3 linked regions of the Drosophila melanogaster genome follow. The protein of the gene in region 3 purifies or fractionates together with the protein of the main gene of each other region. This does not show direct contact. Each region holds a gene or a part of one and is shown on either strand. Other genes may lie near its edges.

Evidence for each region.
Region 1: the proteins of CG2150 (region 3) and CG7203 purify together in Drosophila melanogaster (affinity purification with mass spectrometry, with the first as the bait; one large-scale study listed by BioGRID). This does not show direct contact.
Region 2: the proteins of CG2150 (region 3) and mol purify together in Drosophila melanogaster (affinity purification with mass spectrometry, with the first as the bait; one large-scale study listed by BioGRID). This does not show direct contact.

What each region holds. Positions count from the first base shown.
Region 1 is NT_033779.5:7,750,789-7,755,785, forward strand, and holds CG7203 (uncharacterized protein), read right to left. Parts: upstream 2,399-4,997; 5' UTR 2,320-2,398; coding exon 2,314-2,319; intron 2,027-2,313; coding exon 1,643-2,026; 3' UTR 1,382-1,642; downstream 1-1,381.
Region 2 is NT_033779.5:14,993,696-15,000,169, forward strand, and holds the start of mol (moladietz), read right to left. Parts: upstream 3,865-6,474; 5' UTR 3,821-3,864; exon of another isoform or gene 3,019-3,820; intron 341-3,018; 5' UTR 204-340; intron 1-203.
Region 3 is NT_033777.3:31,762,179-31,767,600, forward strand, and holds CG2150 (uncharacterized protein), read right to left. Parts: upstream 2,595-5,422; 5' UTR 2,488-2,594; coding exon 2,470-2,487; intron 2,171-2,469; coding exon 1,622-2,170; 3' UTR 1,126-1,621; downstream 1-1,125.

The sequences.
Region 1 (4,997 bases), on a different chromosome or scaffold from region 3:
TGCGTTCGGCTCAAGTGCAGTGAACCCGTTCGAAGCAGGAAGCAGCCGCAAAGTGCGTAAACTTGAACTTGTCGAAAGGGGGCTGGTGGTGGCGGTTTAAGCCAACTTGCATTCGGTAGCCGCGTCATGCGTTCTTTGGTTTTGCGTGCACGCAGCCGCCGATCGAGTTAAGCCCACTTGTGGCTAGCAAAAGAAAACAAAAAGTGAATGGCTGGGTCTAGATTTATGGCCAATTGCCATGGGGCTTGGCTGCCGACACGACACTAAACAACGCGGCAAAATGTTTCGCTGCCGTTTGTTTAGCTGCCACTTGGCTCCCCGCCCCCCAACTGAGTCGACTCCCCCTCCCACTCCATTCCCCATCCCCTTTCTTGGCCTCACGTTTCGCCGACAATTGACACTTTTATTGAAAGCCTAGGCATTTTTCGCTTATCATGTTTTCCGTCAAGTCTATTTTCGGTCAAAATGTTGGGGCATTAAGCCAGTATATTTAATATTTTTGTATTGAACTCACCATATGGGATACCCTGAAAATTATAATTTTAAATGTCTTATAAAAAAATATATAGACATAAGAAAGAACGCTTGAGTCGATTTCCTCAACTATCAGTTACTCCTTACTCAGCCGCTGGAAGTGCAAAGAAGAAAGTTCAACTATATTTTTGGCATACTGAAATTATTAATATTTAATATAAATTGCAATTTACTATTCATATATTTCACTAGATATAACAGCATATAGTCCTATATATCCCATCGGAATCGGGATCATCGCCTAACGGGTTTCAGGGGTCTGCAGTGGGCGTTAAGGCGGATTTGATCTGAACCGCATTACTTTGCATGGGCATTACTTAACTTCATCGCGGCCATATCAAGTTTGTGCACATTTTTCTATTAATAATTGCAAGTGCGAGTGTGCGGCGATCAAGGCAAACCGCCCCTGCTCCAGATCGAGTAGTACTCTCGTTTTCAGTTCAAAGACCAGTTCGGTTCGACGGCAGTTTGTACTATGAGTTGGCAACAAAGTTGTCCAGCTGCCGAGCAACTGCGTCTCATTTCTGGAGCGGCTTTTTGTCAACGCCCCTGCTGTAGCGCCGGTCTGAGGCCCCGGAATTGATTAATTACTGGCATCGGTAATCGGCCATCGATCGAGATTGTTTTAAGCCATTTAGCTGTCCAATGTTTGCTGCACTTGAAGGCGTGGGAGTTGGGCTAAGGGTGTGGCTTCTAATTGCCGTTAAAAAAGGTGAGTCGATCCCCTGGTAATTGCGTAAAAATTATTTGAAATAAATATTCTGGGACCACGATCTAGATACATCTGCTAATGGCATATAAATAGTTACTTAAGCGCTAGCAACCGTAACTAAAACGCCTTTCAACTGTTTTAATAACATTTTTTTATTCAAAAAGAAACAAATTTCCATGTGACAACAGCGGGGTGGATAAATATAGACCAGAGAGTAAAGCGGAAAGCGATAGACTGGATAGGATTGACTTAGATTGCTGAAGAAATGAGAACCCAACGGGATCTCAGCAGAGGACAGACCTTTCGGTAACTTAAAAAACCAAAAAATGTGGTAAAGATGCGAGCAAGTGGCGGTCAGGATCAATGTAGGGGTAATCCAGAAGTCATTTCAGGTGATTACCAGGTGCCTGGTGCGGGTTCCAAGTTCACGGAAGCAGCGGACTGCACATGTCCTGGCAGAGGAGCCACATGGACAGCTCCACGGGTCTTGGCCACATAGCTGGCCTCCGGAGCGGCGACGGCCACCACGGCGGGGGCGTGGGCAGCAACCACAGCGGCGGGAACGGGAGCGGCAACCACCGCTGGTCCAGACTGGATGAGCACGGGTCCGGCTGGGGACAGGGACAGGGGAACGGCAGCGGGAACCGCAGATGCCTGGATGGCCACCGAACCGGCGACGGCGGGAGAACCGACCACCAGACCATGGGCGGAGGTCAGGAGAGGCACCACCGAGCTGTTGACACCCCAGGCCAAAGCGAACAGGACTACGACAACGGCGAACTGAAAATAAGAATCTTGATTTAGATGGAAACTCAGGAACTATGATAAAAATAACTTATTTGAAGTTTTTTTAATTTTGGAGTTTCTCTGAATGGGGTCGTAATGTGTTCAGCGATCTGATATTAATTTATGTATAACTCGATAAAGATCTTTTATGTCTACTTTTGCAGCATACCAATTTGTATAGAAATGTTTTACTAAAAACAACATAAATCCCTTCATGTTGTCCTTTTACATAACACTAGCTGTAACTAAGCTCCAGTTATCCGATATCCCTTCAATCTCACCTTCATGTTGGCTTTTGTGATCTCAGTGACGCTTGAAACGAAACTAACTGACATCTGCCCGTTGGCCAAGTGCTTTTATAGCTCCGATCCATAATTTCATTTAGCATATAAGGCCAGTTCTCGGATTGATCAGCCATGTGTATGTTTGCTGCACAAATGCGGAAACCGGGCCAGAGAACAAACCACGTAATACCTTCAGTCCCAACCCCAACCCCAACCCGAACCCCTTGACCTTCCCGAATCAATAACCACAATTCATTGACGACAATTCAAGTGCGCGACAATTAGCCACACCGGTTGACATGACGAAAACAAGACTGGTCTCATTTGATTCGGCCAATCCATAACCATGACTTCAATATCTGTATATGATATACACTAAAGCCATGTCTCGGGTGCCCCTAACAACAATGGATAGGCAAATTACAAGCCACCGCAGCACCACTGTGCCTCTGTACCACCATCGCCCCACACACATTCAGCACCACTGGCTGTCCATTTAAATTTCATCAGCAGAATGTAATTAAATTCACTTCGGTTAGCTCGCCCTGAAATTAATGTGCCGGCCGCCAGTTGTCGGCAAACTGATCCATTTTGGTCACCGACTATAGATTTCTCGATTGCATTTGCATATCACTAATGCAGTCAACGCCAACATATGTCCAGGAATACCATATAAAAATCAGAGTCCATATGTAGGAAACGATTTCACTACAAATATTACCAATCCTTAAAATATGAAAATTAAATTTTGTAAATTTTATTTGGTATTTAAATATAAAATAATGGTTTATAATTTAATATATGTTAAGTTATACCCCCTTTTGTAGAGTAATCCGTAATTGTATATATAGAACATATTTATTGATTCCATTAAGAAACGATAAGTAAATCAAACCACTTTCGCTTTTAAGTCGGAAAGCAATTCTACGTAATAAATTACAAAACATTTGAATATCAGTAGAGATTGTCATACGTTTAATTTTTTCTAAGTAAGAGCTGTACATTTTAGGGTAAATTTTTGTGAAATTAAAAATTTAACAACACTATATCTTTCATTTAACAGTCAATTAAAGCTTTTGTCAAAGCAAAATCTTCAGTCAGTATACACAAATAACTAATTCCGTTTCAAGCAAGCATACTTTATATTTTCGAGTACTATACTTGATGTAAAGAACTCCCACTGAGAAGCAGAATCAGGCTTGGTTCTAGAAAGGATTCGGAGGCTTTAAAATGGCACGCCTGGTGTTTACGGAGAAAGATCACAATGCATACGATCCCAAAAAGTATAAGGTAACCACTGCCGGAATACAGTCCATAAAATGAGCATTAATCTCCAACTTTTATGTTCATCCAAAGGTGGTGCACAAGAACCACTGGCGACAGGTCAGCCTGCTGCTGCAGCCTTCCAACAAGAAGTGGTGGGAGGATCCCGATGTCATTGTTGCGTGAGTAGAGAACATTGAGGGTCGAACCACCAGCCAGGTGGGCGGTGGGGAAGTTTGAGTGGTTGGCACACGTGTGTCAGAATTCATTGCCGTCAAGTGCTTTTCGTGCTGTTTATGGCTACACTGAGAGGAATACTTAGTAATTGTAGGTAAATCAAAAAAGGATTTTGCATCAAGTGAATAGGATTCGGAATCAAAAAAAATCTTTTGAATTTAATCTTGAAATACAAATTTATACCTTAACAACACAAAACTCCTTTCCAAAATTAGCTGCTTTTCTCCTGTGCACTCGAGTTGGCCAATTGGTTGGTTCGGTGACTCTGACACCGATTGGCTCCAATGCAGCGCGCTGCCATTCAATTAAGATTCTTTGCCACAGCCGCAGCCATAATATTTTATTGCATCCATCAAATTGTCAGACTTACACATAAAGTATTGGCCTGCCACACCCAGAAATATTTCCATGCCAATTAAATGTGCGATGGGGAAATATTCGCACTCAATTGCATCACATCGTCTGATAAGATTATTTATCACTAATCCATAAACTAATCCTGCTGCCCAAACTTGTCAAAAAAAAATCTTCTTCGGCTTGAGTGGGTGGTTCTAATTTCCGGACAACATTCAGTCACGCGATGCTAACGAAGTCTTTGATAGATGGCTCCAACTTCTCGAATGCAAATGAACACCCAGAGGCGCGAAGGGGAGAAAGTGCAGCCATCAGCTGTCGGCGAAACTTTGGCAAGTAATTGGGGAACAGGAGTGATGGAAACGGGAAATTGACTTGGTTATTCTCACTGGGTCGCCGGAAAACTCACGTTTCGCGGGTTGCCTTGCTTTATGTAGCACTAAAGTCGGGAATTGTGTGGCACCAAGGTTAAGATTCTTGCCAGATATGGGGTAAATTGAAACTGAACGGACTGTGTCCTTAGAAAACTGCGCACTTTTGAGCTTGCATAAAGCAAATACCGAGAGAAAAGTTAAAATATAAGGGTTCTTAAGTGATCTATTGTGAAAGAACTTTTGCAGTGCAACTAAAGTGCTTTAGATAATTATGCACCAAAGAAGATGCATTTATAAATCAATAGAAGAAAAAGCTAATTTAATGTATTCAATTTTCTATTAAATTGCTATCTTAGTAAAACCTCACTGTATAGCGAAGGTACCCTACGAAATGGGGCTAATGTCAAAACAGTGTGTGGTGGAGAAATCCATTGGGCAACCCCTCGCTCCATT
Region 2 (6,474 bases), on a different chromosome or scaffold from region 3:
GAGGAATAAGAAAGAGAATTATACTCAGATCGCTGGCTTAAGGCTATGAAGTTGGCCAGTTCCGCAATGATTCTATTGTTCCTATTTTTAAATTTGTTTGCAAACCATTATTTCTTCATTAGCCGGCGTTTATTGCGGCAACAAGTCATCTAACATTTATTTTATCATTCAGTCTCATTCATCAAGTCTTAAAGTTCACTTACCAAACTTGTCAAGAAGAAACCGGCATACAAAATAATTGTTATTAACTTTTCGTGTTCACTTTGTTATTTTTTTTTATTTTTGTATAATCCAATTTTGATGTCCAATTTATAGCTTCGAGTTAGCCGTTAAGACGTATCTAAACAATCAAGAAATTTGCATTTATGATTAATGAATTAAATAATATAGACAGGCACAAATTTTACACACACATCGGTTATGCTTGTTGAAATATTTTGCCGAAAATATTCTTGTTTTCACAGCTGTGAACATGTATTCAATTATTTGATTTTAAACGGTTTGATTTATTCGAGATAAATTTATTAGAGTTATTTTTGAACTACATGTTCATTAGGATTTTTTATACATTGCACTTAGTAGATTTATTGCTGAGTTATATAACGAAGCTTTTGTTTTATTATATAGATGTAATTTATAGATTTCAAATAAATACATTTGGTTAAATTATAATTTTTTTTGTCGAATTCACCACTGCCGTAATAAATAAATGTTTAGAATTTATTAAAGAAATTATCCTTTGTTTAACTTCTATTAATTAATTCCGTATATTTAAGAAAAATGTTTTCCTTGCAGTTGCAATTTGCTGTTGCTGACTGCACCCCCATTGAGTCAATGGTTCTTTTTCCATTTTTTTTCATTGCTGCTGCTGCTGCTGGCAGTCAACCGGTTTAACTAGTCAAGTCCGCCGCCGCCGCCAGACTTTGCACATAAATTGCATTTTATTTTAAAAACCCGGTAATAAATTGTTTCATTTATAATTAGAATTTTTGCCAAGCTGACAGTCCGTGAAATCATGTTTGAAGGTGCGAATACCAAACATACTCGTATGAAACTCCACTTGCGGGAGTTCTCAACTATTTTGTTATGGATTCGATATCGTTGTGGTTGTTGGTGCTGCCCCTCTGGTTGACCTTCGCATATTTTTCGGACAGGAATTTGTAAGTCGCTACGATTCGCGTCAGTTTATTGGCTCAATTGCCTGCAAAAACAATGAACGTCGACGTCGGCGATGGACTTGGCACCAAAACGTAAGGTGCGACGCATCGCATGTGGAAATCTTCGAGCACATTACGTTATTACGTTATAAGCGCAAAACAAAAGCGACAACCAGCAACAATCGGACAATGGGAAAAACAGACATTACAGTTACAAAACGAAACGGAAAATATGCGACGAGTAGCACACAAAAGACGCCGGCGCACAGTGGTACAGTTATTAAAAGGATGGTAACATAATAATCCTTATATTGACGTATGAACATTGCAAAATTCATATAATTGTTCTTAAAACATCAACAAACTAACTTTTCAAGCAAATATGAAAACTGAGAGTATAACAATTCATAAACAAAAATAATAATAATAATCTTCAAATATCTCAGAGCTTAGCCATTCTAATTGGTATCACTTCTTTTAAGATTTCATCATAATATCTGAAAAAATTGGGTAAAACTTTTATTGTAACTAGTCAGTTAGTTAGTTATTGTGACTAGTCACCTGGTTTTTAAAATATATTATATATGAAACAATACGGATTAGTGAAACGAATTATTTGCTGAGCCCAAAGTCACGATCCACAATTTTATGCTCAAGAACATTAAATAGCAATAACCCACGGTGCAGCAACGCCCCACAAAGCAAGTGAGGCATCAGCAGCACCAGCATCCAAGTACCGTATGCAGCACACTTGCTGTGCGCACTCTCACTCTCACTTGCTCTCTTTCCCAAGCTCCAACCTCCTTCCATCTTGCTCCAATAATCTCTCTCTCTCTCTCTCTCTCGCACTCGCTCACACTGCCACAGAGACTGCAGCTTTTATTTTCAAGTCCAACGAAAGTGAAATTGCTGGCGCACCCCTTTCCGCCCACTATACCCCTCTCTCTAACACCTTTGCCGGTGGATTGAGGAAATGAAGTAAACATGAAATTGACATAATCAACACGCAGCTGGAAACTCTGCAAATGTCTTTTGACGAGACAGAGACAGCAAGAGAGGCACCAAGAGCTACAACAACAGGTTTCTGTGTCGCCCTGTTGATATTGCTTTTGTTGCTGTTGCTGTAATGCAGTGAGAGAAAATAATTACTCGGAATTGTATGATTTATGTCATATATGAATATTATGAATATCTTGATATTACTTTTTGTAGTACTGTTATTTATCAATATAATCCTTACTAATATATTAATAAAAATATTAGTAACTGTTTAAAACAATTTTTTCCCGTGCTAGCTTTGTTGTTGCTGCTGGCGGCGTGTGTTCAATGAGCGCTGGTGCGTGTAAATATGTAAGAGTTGCCTTCAACCGGCTTTTTCGTGCAACTTTTTTTTTTAGTTTTTTTGTAGCAGTAGTTTTTGTTTTCATTTTTGCGCTGGTCAGTTTGGTTTGAATCATCTGGCCATATAGGAAATGAAACGGGAGATGAAGTAATCCCAACGCCTGACATGGAAATTACATAGGCAAAACGCATCACAAAAATCAACCTGATGCACACACGTCATACAAATTCAACGACAACTAAAAGGGCAGGCAGGAAAATACAGTAAAAGGAAGGGGTATTAAAAAAAATACGCTCTTTATGTACGCTTTCGCGGAAAATACAAAAAAAAGGTTTAAAATTGCTGGAAGTTGTTATAATCAATTTTCTTTTTCATGTTTTAATAAATATCGAAATATCAAAGGTTTAGTTACTCCTGTTACTCCTGTAAGGGTAATAAAACATTGTGTTGGGTAATACTAAAGGGAAAATGTGCATTAGAAATTACCAACACAATTTTCCCGCTCCCACCCACACATACACCCATCACACATACGTTTGAGGAATGGCGGACTCCCTCTTTAGATGTTTGGGAATTTTTTTGTTTGATCTATCATATTTTATTTTTAGTTCTCGGTGTCTTTTAAGTCTCGGCAATCAGTTTGTTACCCAAAAAAATAAATAATTTATTATCCATTGTTCAGCATTCTATTTTTGCTTGAGTATACCAAACTATTTATTTACATATCTTATTGAATTTTTGATAATATGGATTTTGGTATTTTTTTATTTATATTTCTACAGAGAAACTTTTATTTGTATTGCTTCAGAGAAACTTATTTATTTTTGTTATTGTATTGCACTGAATATTTCGCACTTTAGTTGCAAAAAAATAAATTGCAACATTTAATTGCAACCAAGTTGATTAACTTTTTTATGTTTAAGGCAAAAATTTGCTGGCTTTAATTATATTTTATGTGCGCGCAAATTGTTAAGGTTTTTCGACACTGTTGTTTGTTTTAAGCTTTTTTGTTTTATTTTTGCAGACAACCACGAGGAGCAAAGCATAAATAACTAGATGAGCTTCAAACTTAATACCGTTATTTGCGTTATTATAACGCGGCTTTTGCGGTTTCTTTTTGTTTTGGCAAACTTATTTCGGCTTGAATTTTCGATTTTTGATTTTTCTCCACTTTTACGAACACGGTGGTTTTGTGCATGGCATAACACACAGACAAAACAAAAGCAAACAAATAAAAACACAATTCGATTTCGTCTTCGCTGCCTCTCGTTGTTTTTTTGTTGCAACTGATTTAAAATGCGCAGGCGCGGCGGCGACTTACAAAAATCTGCGTCCGTTTCGAGAGCTTGCCGTCGATCAACTGAACGCCGAGAGCGGTGAGCAAAAGACAAAACCTTCCCAAAAGAGAGCAACAGAGCGCCAAAGCTCCAAAGCGATGGGAGCTTTTTGCTCGACCGCTAATTGCAGGCTTAAGTGAGTGTGAATTTATGAAGCAGTCATGTCGGAAAGTCAGAAAATCAAAAAAAAAATTATTAAAATAAAAAATATCAAAAAATCCGACAGGGAACTTGGGCTATATCGCCAGGGCTATTCCTGATCAGGGACCTTGTCCGACTCTAGGCTGCCACACTTTCCAACCGCAAACTGGTTCATCTTGGGCCTGGCCTCACACTAAATTCACAGCCGAGCGGCAAATTATATACTTTAATCAGCCGGGCGAGAATAGCATTGGCACCTGTCACGAGGAGAAATAATATTAGTATAAACAGCTGTGCTCCGAAAATATTAGAACTTGCATTGTTACAAAAAAGGAAACAAAATAAAACTCTCAAACGTAATTTTATCATCTGACATTTTAATTTGGTTGATATAAATTAAGGCCCACTTAAAATATTAATGTATAATGCATTACTGGACATAAAAACAAAAGATTTATTTATAAGGTAGTATGTTAAAATGAGACATTTATTATTAAACCAAAATAAAACTTAATGAAACGTAATTGCATTGTATAATCAAAAATGCAATCGTTATAATATCAAAATTTCAAATTTTAAATTGCAATTTCCACTTTTCATACAACATTCTTTAATTTAAACAATTATGTCAGAAAAAATAGGTGCCAAATATTGGATAATATTAAAACGAATCCTCAAAAACTCCATCTTCGCAGCATTCCAACTTAAAAACCCCCAATACTTTTTCCTTTATTTAGTTATTTGCCAGCTGCTACTATTGCTAATTCAATTAGCATAGAGACCCGTCTGGTAATTAATATTTAATTTGCTAATTGAATTTTTACTAGCGACTACCGTGCCACGCACCAACGCCAAGCCAAATCACCAAGTTAGCCTCCGTGATCTCTGTTTATGTCCAGTCAATCCATCCGACTTGTGAATCTCGACAGTTGCAAATTTGGCTGGTCGACGCCAAAGCCACTTTTCAGCCGCAGTATGCTAGATCTTGTTGTCTTTGCCTTAGTAGTGAATCTTTTATGATGTGCAAAATTAGCCATAAAAACATACATAAACAAAAATGTAAATATTGCTGTAAAATCAGTAATTCATTATACGTAAGGCTCTCTAGAGTTTAGCCGATGTACTTAGTCTTTGGATTTAAAAAAGTATTATTCTGTGTTTGGAAAAAAATGTGGTGCTTAAAGCTGGCTGAAAAACTTCTAAAGTCGTATAACTATTTTTACAGCATGCAATTTATAAAGGAAGTATCTAAACTACTGAAATATTTACTTTATGTTAAAAATGCTTCGAAAAAGGTTTTTAAAACTGGTGTTTAGTTTTTTTTTTTTGCTTATTGGCAAACGGACTTCATCATAATCGATTCCCTAGCTACGAATAAACTTCCGCTACGCAGTCCAATGATTCATTCCCATTAAAATAAATATCTTGGGGCAAACCAATTCTTTTGACTGCTCTCACAGTGAATTCGTACACATGTTTAGTCACCACGAGTTCGTCGCCAAAGTCTTTTGTTCTAGCGTCATTTATATGCAAACCTATCACCTTGATGGGCGATAAAAACCAGAAAAGTCTGAAAAACATAAACAACAGCATCCCGGACCAGTGCAGCAAAGCGGTGACCACAAAGTTGAAATTAACGAAAATTCGCGCGGCAAGGTCAGTTCAAAGCGGTCAACGACTGCAGGCCGCACGGGAATGGCCAACATGAAATGCCCTTTTTCGAACAACAAAAATTTATCGATTGCAAGCAGTAAATAAAAATTATTCAGCAATAAAAGCGAAAAAAAAAAATTAAAATTAATCACTCGACAAGAGGAGATAACTTCTGAGCTACGCATAATGCGGCTACCGTTTAAGACTTAAATGAAAATATAAAAAACAGACACAAAATCCGGATGTGTCGCGATGCCTACGGATTTGGCGCGCCCAGACCGAGGACGGTCGTTGGTCCCTGGGGCCACAGAATCGCCGACGAAGTAGACCACAAAAAAAAACGACGGACACCGTACGTGTCCCATATCAGGAATGCAAACCACGCGGCGGTCACTTTCGGTTGGACATTGTTTCTGTTATTGCCGATTTTGGAACTGCTCGACTGACTCAGTTTCGGCGAACCTCCACTAAAAGCATTCATAACTCAACTGCCAGCTGTCAGCGGCAAAAAGAAGAAAAAAAAAAGCAGATACAAAATATCCCCAGGTTTATACCACGAAAAAAAAAGGGAAAGGGCAGTGTAATGGAAAATTATAATGGAAATAAAGCGAGTGCTGATGCTCTCGGAGTTACTTTGCAATCGTCTCAAGTTCAAGGTCTTCTCGATTTTGCCGTTCAGTGCGATGATAGTGCATTAAATGTGCTGCGATGGGAGATTGTTGTCTGTCGATGGAATGGTAATTGTAGTATAATTATAATGGGCTTAATGGAAGCCGCAGTGCTTGCGATGGCAAATAAGCAGATTGCTTTTAAAAATTATAATAACTTACTGGATTTGCAGGGC
Region 3 (5,422 bases):
CTCCCTTATTATCTCAAGTATATCTCAAGTTGTAAAACTACAACAGAATAAACTCAATAAGCTCAATTTCCATCCGTTACTACTTTCAAATTTCGCTCGTCCATTTGGAGTATGCATAATGCGTCAATATGATTATACCGTAGGACCATCAGCAGTTGTGGTGGCTACGATGTCGTAATCGGGGTATTCCACAGCTTCCACTTCGTTTGGCGTCTCATCATAAGGCATCTCATAGTGCAGCTTTTTGGGTGCACTTCCACGTATGTACATATATATGTATATGTACATAGAGGACGGCCACCTCGGCACGCATTCAATTGGGAAATCTAATGATGCGAATGTTGGTTAAGTGGCTACAGCTTCAGATTCAGCTGCCACTTCATTTATGGCTCTGGGCCACAACTCCAACTTCGGTCGTGGTAATTGTCGATGTCCATCGACTCATCATTCCCCCATCGCCTTTCCCGCCAGCAGCTGCAGTTGGCCCAGAGTCTCGGCTGCATATGTCGCAATGTTCGCGTAATGAGCGCCCCTCCGGCTCCATCTGCCATCCACATCCCCATCTTCAACCACATCTTCCATTTTAAGCACTTGCACGACTGAGAGTACCTCGTACACAGCAAAAAAGGGGCTACAACCCTGCCTCCAATGAGCAGTTAAAGACATGGATCATATGTATCTGGTATCTGCAAGATATTTTCCTAAGTATAATGTTATTATATTAGCTTGTAACTTAAATCATTTATATATGTAATTTAGTATTTGCAACTAGTGATAACACAAGACCAATTGATTGGCTCAGTGTACGTGAAGATAGGCCAGGGGTTAAAGCTACCTTATTATCGAGTGTAAAAGTGAAAGGATTGGCGGAGATGCTTGGCTTGGTATTTAAAAACACTGACATGGGGCCAGTGACAACTCGGCTTACGTAGAGCTGCGAGTCCGATCAATTGGAATGGTGGGTCCATGTGAGTGGATTGTCATTACGAGATCATCGAGTGTTTTGGTGGTGAGCAATGCGGAACGAGGTCAGTTTCATTAGATGTAATGACATTTGGCGAGATAGCCATAATTTCGAAACTCCCATGGATTCACGGTATTGAAATGAAAATATTGCAATCATTTAACGGTGACAAAATTTACTATTTTTTTTATTGTTTTCATATTTTTTTGTTGTTTCTTTGTTTGTTTCATATAAAATAAAAACACTTACGAGCTAGTAATGCGTTATAACACTTTGTGGGGTGTTTTCCATCTTGGTGTTGTGGGTGTTGTTGTGTGGCTTTCGTTTTCGGGTTTTCTTGTATTCGTGTAGTGTGAGAAACTATTTACAAGGGTTACAAAAAGGCCCGAGACGAAGTCCCGAATTGTTTGGGGTTTCCGGGGAACGGACGTTTCAGAGTGTTGGGGTACAGTCGCTGAGTTCGGGAAGAGGGCTTGAGAAGGGGAAGCGATCTCCAGTTCTCTCGGGATCAGAGCGGATCGGTGATCGGTAGTTCCATTATTAGATCCAGGTTGCCCAAATTTGTATAGTGTTGGTGTCGTCTTTGTCGGTTTCGTGTCCGTCGGTATTCATTTTTGGCAGAGGTGTGTCTTTCGGATGTGAGACCTGTGCGAAGATCTAGAAGGGCGCTCCATAGCTGCCGCTGGGCCTTGAAGGGGCTCCATACGATCCGGATGGGGCGCTGGGATATCCACCGCCGCCACCTCCCTGCTGCGAGCTCTGCTGGGCGAACTGAGCCACCTGGATGGCCTGGCGGACGCCTTCCAGGTCGATGCCCACGACACGGCCACCGCCTCCGATTCCGGGGGCTCCGTAGCTGGTGGAAGGTGGACCGTAGCTGCTGGATGGGCCACTGGGGTAGCCACCACCGCCGCCACCACCGCCTCCACCACCACCGCCGCCCTGCTTGCTCTCCTCGTTCAGCAGGATCTGGCGCACCTGCTCCAAAAGCTGGGGATCCACGTTCTGGCCCTCGGACGTCTGGAAGCCGCCGCTCACAGCCTGGTAGCCGCCGCCGCCACCACCGCCGCCACCTCCTAGTCCGCCTCCGAATCCGCCGCCGAAGCCACCTCCAAATCCGCCGCCACCACCACCTCCGCCGCGGGGATAGTTATATCCGGATGGTGGCTCTGCTGCAGCAAGAGCGGCCAGCGCGAACACTAAGAACTGAAAGTAGGTAGTGGAGGTTAGTGCAAATTCCATATCAAACTGGTGATCTCATCAATTGAATTCTCTTAAATAACTCGAATGCGTCTTTTTGTGGAATGTGAATTGAAATCCCATAGATTAAGGCACAAGGAGAGTTTTTGAAACTATTGAAGTTTTTTTGAAATCCAATTGCAGCGTTTGCGGTCTGACAGGGCTATTCTTTCTAAATCCCGTAAGGGGTGTAATCCGCTTGCGTCCAGGTTTAATCGGCTCTGGGGTCTGGGGTCTTGAGGTCGTCGGGATCGTGTGTTACTTACCACTGAGAAGGAGTTCATAGCGACGTTTCGGGTGAGTGTGTTTGTTGGGGGGAAGAGTTGAGTAGAGTAGAGTGGAGTGAATTTGGTTGCTTCCGAGTGGGGAACCAGCGACTGAATGCATCTCCACGGCCAGCAGAGCCACTCTTTATACCCGCCGGTGCTCAGCTGCTCTTCAGCTTTCGGGCCAACTCGTCCACTCGGCAACGTCATTATCGCCAAACTTCGTCTGCAACTTGTTTCTTTTGCTGCTGGGCGCTTCTCACAATAAAACAAAATTTCCAATTGGAAAACAACGTAGAGGCAGAAGAAAAAAAGGCCGAAAAAAATAAAATGTCGCTAACGATTTTGGTATTTGAAATTTTCTTTGGCACTTTCCTTCGATTCGCGCGGACCAGGAAGTGATTTTTCCCACCACCGCGATCGATTCCGAAGGTAAGTAACCCAGCCGCAGCCACTGAGATTTTTCGACAGCCCAGGAGGATCATGGCGGCTTCCAAAACATATTTCTCTTGGCCATGAGGTATGGCTCCACTGACGAAACTGCAATTCGCGTTTCCCGTTGCCCAACTGCAGTTGCATTTCAATTGTGGGTAAGTCGCAACCTGGGCTCGTCATCCATCAGCATCAGCGTCACATGGGCACGAAGATTACGAAATGGGCTGGGAAATGCGAATCGGGGGAGTCAGGAGGGCCGGAGACGGGGACCGGGACGGGCCCGAGGCCCGTATAATTCGTACGATCTCGATGTGGAGCAGTAGGGCCATGGCACCACGGGGCGTATAATTAATGTTTCCCAAGGAGCGTAATTACACGAGTTTGTACATTTGCAGATGAGTGCTGCAATCGCAAGAGCCTGAAAAGTGCACTTTACGCTTTGGAAGGTATGCAGTTGGGAATGCCAGAGCTAAATATGTATATTACCTGCACTCATAGTTTGTCATATTGGTTAAGTTAACTTAACCACGTTTAATTTAACCCAACCAAATGACCTCGAAATAAGATCGAAAGCCAGATATCTGCGCTCATTCTGGCAGAAGTGAAAGAAGTCCCCGATGGACTGGAGGCCGCATTGTGCCCATTATGTCATGTCTTCGGATGAGCACCTGTGCAGTCGCAGATGGCAACCATAAGTTGCAGAAAAGACACACGATGAAAGGGAAGACGCCTGCATGCAAGTGGAAGTGAACCTTGCCGTAAATTGGACTAAATGAGGTTTATTTACATCTCGACTCACACTTTCGCATATACCCAAAACCGGCAATAACTTTGGCTCCGCTTCATGCAGAGAAATCAACATCATGTACTTTGAATGTCAGGTGAAAAGTAAGGACATATCTCAACCATTATTCTGTGATCGTAGAAGTATTTGATTTGTTATGATATTTAGTGGTTTTCTTTTTTTCGTTTCTTTTCTTTCATTTCCTTATTATCATGTTTAAATCATCATCGAAATCAGCAAACGGCCTTTTCTGCGGGTGTATTAAAGGCTCTTCGGAAACCTTCACGCTCCAAAGTGAAGGACTATCTGCGTTGGGGCACGATCTGCAGTTGGCGGTCGGCGTCGGGTGGGGATGGGTTTCGACTGGGCACTGGGTTGGGATTGGGTTCGGGGGCAACAATGAGATGAAAGTCAACACTTCACACTCGATGGCGGAGGCAGCGGACTCAATGACAGTGCGCTAAATCATTTTCGTGGCTCGGAACAGCTTAGATCTGCTGTGGCTGCCACTGTCGTTAATTCGGTTTATTGTGGTCGAGAGATTCCGGCGAAGGTCTCTTGCCCATCGATGGCGTAATTCCATCTTTGTGGGACTTCACTTTCCGTCGTGTAATTGGAGCAGCGGGAAAAGGTCACATGCCAGATGCTGCCTTGCCAGAAAAATGCCTGGCTGTAACCTCTCATTTAATTAATGCATAATTTATTATATGCTTGGCGCTGTGGCACCTTTCTATCTTGAGTAAACATTGCATCAGATCTCACAAGAGTCTGTGATGGTCCTTTGAATAGCAATTGCTTGTTATTGACACAATTGTGGGAGTTCAAAAATAACTTCTTTTTCATTAGCATTTGGCTTCGCTTGTTTTTGCCTCGCTTTTTTGCAACTTTAATGAACGCTTTTTATACGTCGTGGCCTATCTGAACATATCCATCATTAACACGTCTGCCACTAGGTCAGCTTTGGACAGTGATGGCGACGGCGATGGCTTTGGCTCTTGCTTTTCGCTGTTCAGTCGGCTTAGCCGGGCCTAAACCGAACTGAAACTCATTATGCCTCTGTGTGTGCGTGCGTAATTGTTATGACACAATAATTGGGCCAGCAATAGCAAAACAAAGCCGAAATAAAAATAAAATCCCCTCAAATGCAAAAGCTGCCAACTGGCAGACGCGCCTGAATTATCAAAAAAAAATTCGCCTCATTTGCCATCTAGATTTCGGTTGCTGTTCGTATATTGCAGGGGGACTCGCCCCCGCAATATAGTTAGTTTAACATTTTATTTTAAAAGTATACAAAATATATTCTATAAATTAGATATGATAAGCTCCGCGCTGTGATTTCTTTTCTTCTGGTGACTAGCCGTTAGGGTTCCTACTTGAGAGCCATCATGGCGTTAGCGCAACCTCGCAACCAGGACCGTTCTGGATTCGCAGATCCCCCCATTCAGGTGCGTCATTTCGGCTTCGTATCGCTAATCAACAGGTGGACACAAACTGCCTACTAAATTGACTATAGGAGGGTTCATTTTTCACAGTCGCTGACGAGGCTGATGAGCGACAAAAAACCGACTATTCCGGCCTATTGATGACAGAGGGCGAATGCCCGTGCGACAAAGTTGGTAGCAGCCACGCTGATGAAGATGAGTTCGCGAAATGTTTGCCGTCCGATGGTGTTTGGTGGCTCATTCTCTGCAGATCCCTCCAAGCCGATGAACCCCTGGACGACAGGTTACATAA